Linked DNA regions of Drosophila melanogaster. The protein of the gene in region 2 interacts with the protein of the main gene of each other region in a pairwise test. Each region holds a gene or a part of one and is shown on either strand. Other genes may lie near its edges.

The links. Proteins that work in one complex are often made in the same cells at the same time.
Region 1: the proteins of Cp38 (region 2) and CG11674 interact in a two-hybrid assay, tested with the Drosophila melanogaster proteins (one large-scale study listed by BioGRID).

Annotation. Positions count from the first base shown.
Region 1 is NC_004354.4:14,223,017-14,227,654, reverse strand, and holds CG11674 (uncharacterized protein), read left to right. Parts: upstream 1-1,775; 5' UTR 1,776-1,851; coding exon 1,852-2,323; intron 2,324-2,384; coding exon 2,385-2,947; 3' UTR 2,948-3,008; downstream 3,009-4,638. Other genes in the region: mRpL38 (mitochondrial ribosomal protein L38), read right to left, coding at 1-89, 160-458, 514-871, 938-1,093, 1,165-1,315; Prp16 (pre-mRNA processing factor 16), read right to left, coding at 3,033-3,630, 3,694-4,638.
Region 2 is NC_004354.4:8,478,235-8,484,119, forward strand, and holds Cp38 (chorion protein 38), read left to right. Parts: upstream 1-3,602; 5' UTR 3,603-3,679; coding exon 3,680-3,724; intron 3,725-3,950; coding exon 3,951-4,826; 3' UTR 4,827-5,077; downstream 5,078-5,885. Other genes in the region: Cp36 (chorion protein 36), read left to right, coding at 1,123-1,170, 1,260-2,066.

The DNA of each region.
Region 1 (4,638 bases), 5.7 Mb from region 2:
CAAATTGAAGGGCTGCTTCAGCGGGAAGAACTTCTGGTCGGTCAGGTACGGCTTGGGGAAGTCGTACTCATAAACGGGCTCTTTGATCTCTGCGCGACAGATGACCAGCATTAGTATGAGCTACGGATTGCTGGTAGAACTATGTACGTTTCTACTTACTCAAGACATCGTGGTAGAACTGCGTCAATGACTCGTCCCAGTTGGTCTGATAGAAGGCCAGGCCAGCCGGCGTCAGTTGCTCCTGGTGCTGACGATAGAAGTCCAGGGTGCTGAAGGTGCGCTTCTCCAGATTACCGTAGTCGGCAGCAGCCAACTGATAAGAGCCGAGATCAAGGCGCGCCTGCTGTTTGTAGAGCACAAAGACCATGCGTTGGTAACCAACGCCGCGCGGCGGGAACGGCGGTAGATACTCGGCGAGAACCTGACCCTCGCTCACCTTGCCGTTGGGTATGTTGGCACTGGAAGAATAGGGATGAATTAGCATAGGATGATGCGTAACAAAACGAAACTTACATGAACCAATGCAGACACTCGGCAGTTCCATTTGTGTAGTGCGCATCGGGATTGCTGGCCACCAGGGTCCAGTAAGTGTCCTGGCCGGCGGCTTGTCCCGTAATGGGATCCACTAGGCCATCGAAATCGATCTGAGGCGCCTTGGCTGCCTCCGTCGGCTTGATAACGTTGCCATTGTAGACGGGTGCCAGGCTATCGCCGTCCAGTTGGTAGCTTATGTTGAGCGGCACGCGGGGCACAAAGTAGGCGCTGCCAAAGAGGTGCTCGAAGATGCCGTAGTGGTCCGCCACCAGGCGAAGATCATGCTGGCCCGTGGTCTTCACATAGGTGCGCTGCACCTTGTCCAAATCGATGATCACTGTGGATAGACAAATAAACAGCAATGAGCACATATACATCAATAGTCCCCAGGATCGCTACTCACGCTTGTTGCTCCGCGCCAGCTGCTCCAGCTGCTTGTCACTGCGCTGGGACTTCAGGTGCTCCAGTCGCTTCTTTAGCTGCGCCGAGCGCGACTCCTTCAGCTGCGGGAAGCCAATGTTGATGCGGGCCACCACCTCCGGATCCTCAACGTTCTCCTCTGCGGAAAGACATCGATGATACGCTGGTTTGTGGGCCGAAAAGTGATCCCGAGTGGTTACATCAACTTACCACGAATCCGCTGCTCCAGAGAACGGGCCACGCCGGGCGGCTTGCCGCGTATGGTGTGTCCTTGCCGTGTGGCAGTCATCAGGACGGCGGCCTGCGCATCACGCACGGCCACAGTTAGGCCACTTTTCATTAACAAATTACTGAAAGACATGGTGTTTTGTAATTTGCCTTGCTTTTCAGGCGGCTCGCGTTTTTCTAGCGTTGCCGGATCGTCGACGAGGTGAAAGGTTGCCAGACTGTGAGCTTGTAGCGCTAAATGGTTTTGATGAGCTTTAAAACTATCGGAATTTAAAATTTTTTTAAAGTAGATAAGTAATTTGGAATAATTAAATAACTCATCGCTTGAATTTATCTTGGAGCAAAAAATCTCTTCATATTGAGCAGGTGAGCAAATGCTTATATCAGATGGTAACTTTTGTTTAGGCCCTGGTCAAAGTTTTTAAATATTATTTAATAGTTGGTCAAGTAACGAACACAAAATTGAATTTTAATGTTAACCATTAAGTAATTAAGGTACATTTTGACTGAGGTGTATAAAAAGAGATCTGTTGTCTTAAACAAAAAAGGATAAATTAGCAGCACTAACCAATGGACAGTTTTAAATTGAGCTTTTCTGGCAGTCCGCAAGTAACGGTACTGGTTTTCTCCAGTCGAACGAAGTGGAGCAACCCAAGTGAACTGAGAAACATGCTAGCGATGCACAGGTGGATCCTACTGCTGCTGGCCGGATTTCTAGCGACTGGTCGGGCGGAGGATCTGCTGGAGTTGTCCTGCAGCTCGGACGCACAGTGCGCCCAGTTTGAGCGCGGTCGCTGCGTGGACATGGCCTGCATCTGCACAGCACGTGGCTCCGGCGAACGGGTGCCGTGTACGCCGCTGGAGGAGCGCCTCAAGCTGACCAACATCATTGGTGGTGCCTGTCCATGTCCCATGCCGAATGCCATATGCCACACGCGATGGCAGCAGTGCCACTGCTCCGAGGGTCATGTGTCCAGTGACGACCGCAGACGCTGCCTGCCGGCGGTGGTCCCGGTGGGCGGAAGCTGTGAGTTTCAGCAACAGTGCCAGCGGGCGGATCGGTTTAGCTCCTGCATTGGCAACCAGTGCCTCTGCCTTAACCAATTCGAGTTCCACGAGGGACGTTGTCTTTCTGTTTTGCGTGAGTACACTGGCAGAAATAGCATAATTTACATGAAATTCCACCTCTGTATTTACCTTAGAATCAAGCTGTCTAGAGGACAAGGATTGCGGCAGCTGTGGAGCCTCGATTTGCCTGACAAAGACGAAGCGGTGCGGCTGCTCCAAAAACTTTGTGCACAACCACAACATGACCAAGTGCATCAAGGGCTCCGCTTACGGTGACACGTGCGAGCACAGTTCGCCGTGCAAGCTAAACCTGGGTGCCGATGGCAGGTGCCTGGATCACCTCTGCGTCTGCCGTTCGACCCACTACCCCAAAAGGGTAGCCAACGAGGTGGCCAAGGACGAAAACGACGATCTCGATGCGGTGAACAATCTGGAGCGGATCACTTGCGCACCCATCGTGCCGTTCGGGGCACTCTGTCGAAACGATAGCGAATGCCGGATGCAGCCCATGGACCAGGAGAATGCCACAGCATCCATTGGCCATCCCATGGTGTGCAATTGGGGCGAGTGCTCCTGCAGTAAGACCCATCGACTGGAGGACAACAAGTGCGTTTTTGTGGAGAACTCCGCAACGAATTATCAACTAAGAGGCTTTGTGGCCTTCCTTTGTATCCAGTTCACAATGATTCTTTATTAGGATGTAGCAAAAAAACTTGTTAAACTTAAATTAATACATTGAACACACGCTTCACACGGATATTTGTATCTGTATCTGCATCTGCTCAAAGGCCAATCCTGGCCGGCGTGCGTCGGGGCGTGGCATTGCCCGGTGTGGCGATCTCCTGCTTGGTGGCCAGCTGTTCCTCCCGTTCGGCGGCCTGCTGCTTGCGCTCCTCCATCTCGTGCTGCGCCTTCAGCATCTGCTCCTCCATCTCCTTGAGATGCTCGGCCGCCTGTTTCTTCTTCTCGCGCCCGCTGCGACCGGACTCCTTAACCGAAAAGAACATGGGACCCAATTCCGCCAGCCAGTAGCCATCGACAGCGGTGGCGCACTGCATATACTCCTTGGCGGTCATGATCAGCTCGTGATAGACGACATAGTCGGGCGTGGTGCCCAAGCCATACAGCGCGGACGTGGGATGCAGGTGGCATGGCATGCCAGTTCGCAGATTGACATACTCTCCGATACCCTTGAGCCTGGCCGCCTGGTAGAAGTATGCCGAGCAGATGCACTTCCTCACAATGTCCCAGTCGATGCCGCAGCTTATAACGCTCAGATTCTGTTGCGTCATGATGTCCTTAAGCTGCTGCCGCACCTCGCGCACCTTCCGCATCGCCTTGATGTGGATAAAATGTTCGTTGCACCAGGTCGAACTGTAACTGTGGGCGAAAGCAACGAGTTGTTCATTTCTGGCGGAGATTTGCCGCAATTGTAGGACTTACTTGTTCTGGCGCCACTGCTGATAAACGTTGAGGTAGGTCAGGTGATCGGACTCGGGCCTTTGGAACTTTTCGCGCACACCATCCGCCTCATCCTCGCGGCCCTTTGGCCGGTAGAAGATCGATGGCACGGACAACATGGAAACTATGATCAGCACCTCGGCACTGCAGCCCATGCGGCAGGCCACGATTAGCATCTGGCACTGGGGCGGATCCAACGGGAATTCGGCCATCTGGCGACCCAGTGTGGTCAGCGCACCAGTGTGGTCCAGTGCTCCCAGGATCCACAACTGGTACAGCGAGTTAAGAATGTTATCCTGCGGCGGTGGATCCATAAAGTGGAATTGCAGCAGATCGACGACGCCCAGTGACTTGAGCAACAGCACCGTATTGGCCAGATTGGTCCGCTGAATCTCGGGCACGGTTAGGGCCAACAGCTCGTCCTTGTACTGGCGCTGCGTATACAAGCGGTACGCCTGACCGGGTCCTGTGCGTCCGGCACGACCGCTGCGCTGATTGGCATTCGCCTGCGATATGGGATAGATCTGCAGGGCGTCCATGCCGATGCGCGGATTGTAGACCTTCAGTTTGCAGTAGCCGGAATCGATAACGTAGATGATGCCGTCGACGGTTAGCGATGTTTCCGCTATGTTCGTGGCCACCACACACTTGCGCAATCCATCGCTGGATTTCTGAAAGATCTTTGCTTGCAAATCGGACGGCAATTGCGAATAGATGGGCAGTATGCTTAGTGCCGGCGCATTATCGATCTCCGCCAGTCGCTCCTCGAGCACCTCGCACGTCACCTCGATGTCCTCCTGGCCGGGCATGAAGATGAGCATGTCGCCCTCGTTGGGCGTGAGGTGAACCTGCAACGCTTGCTTCACCGCCGATTCCACGTAATCCTCGCAGGTGTTCTTGCTGAACATCACGTCCACGGGAAAGGTG
Region 2 (5,885 bases):
TGAGCCACACCATACACCACACACCACACATACACACACGCCAACACATTACACACAACACGAACTACACAAACACTGAGATTAAGGAAATTATTAAAAAAAATAATAAAATTAATACAAAAAAAATATATATATATACAAAAATTTGTTGTGTTTGAATTGAATTAAGAGCTTATCAAGAAAAAAATTTCAGTGACTCATAATACACTACTCTACAAGTTTAAATTGAATCAACAATTTAACTTTCATTGCTCAGGTTTTTAGTAACAATGTTTATATAAGTTTAGGTATAACAAATGATTTAAATATAAGATACTGTATTTCACATTGAGACGAAACAATCCACCGAAAATCATAAAATATAAGAATGTTGCATTTTATTTTTAAAAATAAAGATGCCTTTTAAGAGGAATAACTTAAATGTCTTTAATACCTTTGAATTTAATTATATGGCTAATAAACACAAACTTAAAGCTTAAAACTGCATCGAATTGAATGCGGTTATAAATGTACTTATATATCTAATATAATCTGCTAATATGGTTTACATGGTATATCTTTCTCGGAAATTTTTACAAAAATTATCTATTCATATATCTCGAGCGTAAGATATTTATCAGTTTATAGATAACATCTTTAAATTTGGGTGATTAAAAAAAAACATTGCTGCAGGGCATGTTTATGTACACATTTCAGTATAAGTCCCAAGTTAAAATGCAATGTAAAAACATATAAAGGATATTAACTTCAAACCCAAAGGATTGCAGAGAGATTGCAGCACAGCTGTAATCATCGCAACAAGGCAACCAAAACGAGACTCTCGTAGCGTTGGCATCATATTCGATCTTTGGAAGAGCTATGATTCAAGCCAAGGGAAACAACTGCCAAAAAATAGAAGATTGCGACGAGCGGAAAGCAGAGTGGTGCACCACGGTGCATAGGTGCATAGGAGGTTGGTTGTCTAGAGATCTGGGCACGATGGCGAGACAAAGATGCGGCGCAAAATCGGAAATGGAGATGGATCACGTAGCCGGCCATGGCGGGCAGCGATTATAGGCGCTATAAAGAGCCGGAGTCATCGCCAGACAGCGAGCAGTAGACGATCCACACGTAAACGGCAACATGCAACTCGGTCTCTGGTTTGGCATTTTGGCCATCGCCGCCACGCCGGTTAGTAGCTTTTATCCATGGCATTCGCATTGGGCATCCCGCTAATCTCGCAAACTCTCTCTCTCTCTCTCTTACCTCCTCCTCATTAGCTGGTGAGCGCTAACTATGGTCCCGCTGGCGGACACGGACACGGACATGGACATGGACAGTACCTGTCCGGTCCCAATGCCGGACTCGAGGAGTACGTGAATGTGGCGTCTGGTGGCAACCAGCAGGCTGCCAATCAGATCGCCTCACAGGCCGAGATCCAGCCCACGCCGGAGGAGGCCCGTCGTTTGGGTCGCGTCCAGGCCCAACTTCAGGCCCTCAATGCCGATCCCAACTACCAGAAGCTGAAGAACTCCGAGGATATTGCCGAATCTCTGGCCGAGACCAATCTGGCCAGCAATATCCGTCAGGGCAAGATCAAGGTGGTGTCGCCACAGTTCGTTGACCAGCATCTGTTCCGCTCCCTGTTGGTGCCATCGGGCCACAACAATCACCAGGTGATCGCCACCCAGCCCCTGCCACCAATCATTGTCCACCAGCCTGGTGCACCACCAGCCCATGTGAACAGCGGCCCACCGACTGTGGTGCGCGGCAATCCGGTGATCTACAAGATCAAGCCCTCGGTCATCTACCAACAGGAGGTGATCAACAAGGTGCCCACTCCGCTGAGCCTCAACCCCGTCTACGTGAAGGTCTACAAGCCCGGCAAGAAGATCGAGGCTCCACTGGCCCCGGTGGTTGCACCCGTCTACAGCCAGCCCAGGGAGTACAGCCAGCCCCAGGGTTATGGTAGTGCCGGAGCTGCTTCCTCCGCCGCCGGTGCCGCCTCCTCTGCCGATGGCAATGCCTACGGCAACGAGGCTCCACTGTACAACAGCCCCGCGCCCTATGGCCAGCCCAACTACTAAGGTGCTCATCCTGGGCATGGGTTGCTCCTCAGCTGCGACAGCTGGTTTAATTTAAATTTTTGTTTTTTTTTTTCTTTGCCGAACTACTGAGCGCAAATAAATGAAAAAAAAATACTTGAAACGTAAACGTTTTGTCATCAATTATTTTCGACCGGAAGGGGCTACCTGAGTGGCAATGAAGCACACAGATTAAGCACATATTTATGAATATATAAATATATACGAATGCATGAGAGAACAAAAAATTATATCTAGTTTTCTTCAAAAATAAATAATAAAGGGGAAAATGGTATAAAGTATGAACATAAAATTATGAACGAGTATAAATAAGTTTGTAATTGAAATCTCTACGGTCATACAAGTATTTTAACTATTCTATAAATATGCATAAACATGGTACGCATTTTATGAGATACAATTCGAAAGATATTGGATAGCATTATCATGCATGAAATTATTTCACACTCTTGTGATGGTAGCTATCTTATTCCAGTTATCGTTTAATTGCAAAGAATGGGATCAAAAGGTCATCTTTATCAACATATTGTTGATTCCGGAATGAATAATAAATAATAACATAACTATGAATTAATGGAGCAACTATAATTTTACGGCCTCTTTTCTTTTAAACAAAGAATATAGCACTTTTAATGCATTAAATACGTATTTAAACCTTTTCTTTTGAAACGCCAAATTCATATTAGAGTTTCATAAGATTGTTTTAAAACATAACAACATAATAATTGAAGAATTGGAAATCTTTTTAGGTGTTTGTAAGCCTTTGAATTCCTAATTGGAATAGCTAAAGATCCATATTTCATCTTCAAATCTCTTTGCAACTAGAGATTTATTTTATCTGGCAATTATTAAGTATACATTTTTATATGGTACTTTAAACTGATGGTTTAATCAGTTACATGGATTTTCTAAATTAAAAATGGTCATGTGAAGATAGCCACTCTTCTAACAATCTAATCACATTTATAGTAAGAAATACAATACAATACAATACAATACAATACAATACAATACAATACAATAGAAAGACAATCGAATCTGCGCAATCCGTGTGAAATTCAAGGACTACAGCTGGGTGGCTAATCATTTCCCCCTATCCACTTACACCTCGGATTACCTCTTATTCCGACTCCCGGAGTCTTGTGTCTGCCAATGCGGAACTATTTTCGCTATCTGAACAGACGTTCGGACCTCGATATGCGGCAAAGATTCACAGCCCGGCTGTTGATTCCGATTCGGTGGCAATGTGTTCGTTGTTATTGTAAAACGGGCAATGGCAACTGGGCAGTGGGCAGTGGGGTTTTCGGGTTGTGGCTTCTACGTAAGTGGAAGAGACGCCGTGATATGCGCTGGCAGCGATGCGTGCGATCTATCAACATTTGGCCATGTTTCGTTCGCATCGCGTGGGCCCGGAGCGGAACAGCCGGCACCGGAGTTGGCATCAATCCAAATGTCACGTACCCGGAGCCGGAGACGCGTCCGGAGCATATTTAAAGTAGTCGGCCACCAATGGAGGGCAGCAGAAGACAGCAGACAGTCCAAGCGGGAGCACACCAGAAGCCGAAGAGCAACTGGAACTGCAACTGGGAGACAAGATGACGAGATCGACCTACATTTGGGCGCTGGCCGCCTGCCTGATCGTAAGTGTTCAAGCTCGAAATCTTAGGATTAATCCCAAGAAAACCAAGTCTATCAATTCTGACTGCTTTCGTTTGTGCCATGTAAATCGTACATGAAAAGCAAATTGACTTTCCTTTAAATTACTTGAAACGGAATCAAGCTATCTATCGATGCTAGACTTATTTTAAGTATATGTATATGTCGATCCAATTCTAATCCACCCCCCCCCCCTCAATTTACTTTTAGGCCTGTGCAAGCGCCAACTACGGCAGTTCCCAGGGCTATGGACCCGAGTCCGGAAGCGGTGCCTCCGATGGCGGTGCTGATGCCGCTTCAGCGGCCGCAGCAGCTGCCGGCGGTGCCGGTGGAGCTGGTGGCGAGTACGGTGGTGCTAACGCCGGTGCTGGTGCTCTCGAATCCGGAGCCGATGCCGCCGGTGTGGCACAGGCTGGCCAGAGCAGCTACGGATCCGACCAGAACATTCCGTACAAGCCGGTGAACACCAAGGGTAACACCCTGACCTCATCGATCACCTACCCGCAGAACAAGGGCGAGATCCTCATCCATCGTCCCGCTCCCATCATTGTCAAGCGTCCGCCCACCAAGGTGCTGGTGAACCATCCACCATTGGTGGTTAAGCCCGCTCCCGTGGTGCTCCACAAGCCCCCAGCAATCGTTCTCCGCAAGGTCTACGTCAAGCACCACCCACGTCGCGTCAAGGTTGAGCCCGTGTTCGTCAATGTGGTCAAGCCCCCAGCAGAGAAGTACTTTGTCAACGAGAACAAGCAGGGCTACGGACAGGGCTCGCAGTCCCACGGACACGGCCATGGACACGGTGGCCATGGACACGGACACAGCGGACACGGACACGGTGGACACGGTGCTGGACCCCATGGTCCTGGACCCCATGACGGTGGCCGTGCTCTGCCCGCCTACGCTTCGGGAGCTGATTCCGCTGCCGCCAGCGCTGGCTATCAGCTGCTCCAGAGCGGCAACCAGGGTCTGTCCGCTCTTGCCAACATCGCCGGCGAGCGTGAGGGTCCCTATGGTCCCGCTCCAAGCCATCAGCACTATAGCGCCGGTCCAGCCGGACATGGCGGCTATGCTGCTCCCGCCTATTAGGTAACAGATGCGGAGGAGTTACGGATTGGATGACTGCTGCGGCTCCGGAATCAACTGAAGCGGCTGGTTTAGTCATTCGCTTATCCGGCTGATTAGTTACTATGTTTTTTTTACAAAAAAAAAAAAAAAAAACAGCCTGATCGACCAACGCCCATGCCTACGCCCACGCCCACTCATGCACACCCCAATACCACCCACTCACCCATTCAACGGCCCAGGAGGGGCGTGGCACTCAGGTTTCTTTGCAAAACAAATAAAAAATTTGAACAAAAAAAAAAAAACAATTATACCCAAGCTGAATGTTGTTTTCGATGAAGGGTGAAATCTAGATGCTAGTTATATTTAAATTAAACTATCATTAGATATATACTCTAATTGATAGTTATTGATAGTCTTGCGACTCATTTTAAACTTGATACACTTATAGCATAGACAGTGAGTAATATCATTGATATTATTATATAATTATTGTTACACAAAGTGCATATGATGAGAATCGATTTAATGATGGGAGAACTGACTTACCCGCAACTTTATTCGCAGCAACAAGTGTCGCATATAATAAATACAATAAATCCGAAACGCAGGCTGTCATTACACACATCGTTTGGTTGTCCTTCCCCATTGTTGTGCGTTATGCCAATGGCATCCCACGCAATTGTTCAATAACAAACGGGCGGCAAAATCGGCTATAATGATAGGTAAGGCAAAGAAGAGCTCGGCTGATGACAGGTGGAATCGCAATTTAGGTCGCCCAGTGCCGCCCATTTGGCAGTTTGAAAATTCAGCATAAAAATGCGATACCTTTGCACAGAGATTTCAGTCTGTAAGCAGAAATAAATTGAGAGCATTAATAAAATAACCAACTAAACAGAATTATTAAAGCGAGCCAAAACAAATCGGTTTCAAGTTCAAATATTTTTTTTTGCGAACACTTTTCGGTGATAAAAAAAAAAAAAACAAAACCAAATAACCAACAACAGAGGCGAAATGAGTCACTTATGCTTCCTTGTAATGGGTTTGTGTTTCGCAATAATCGCCTACTGTTCTGGACAAGTT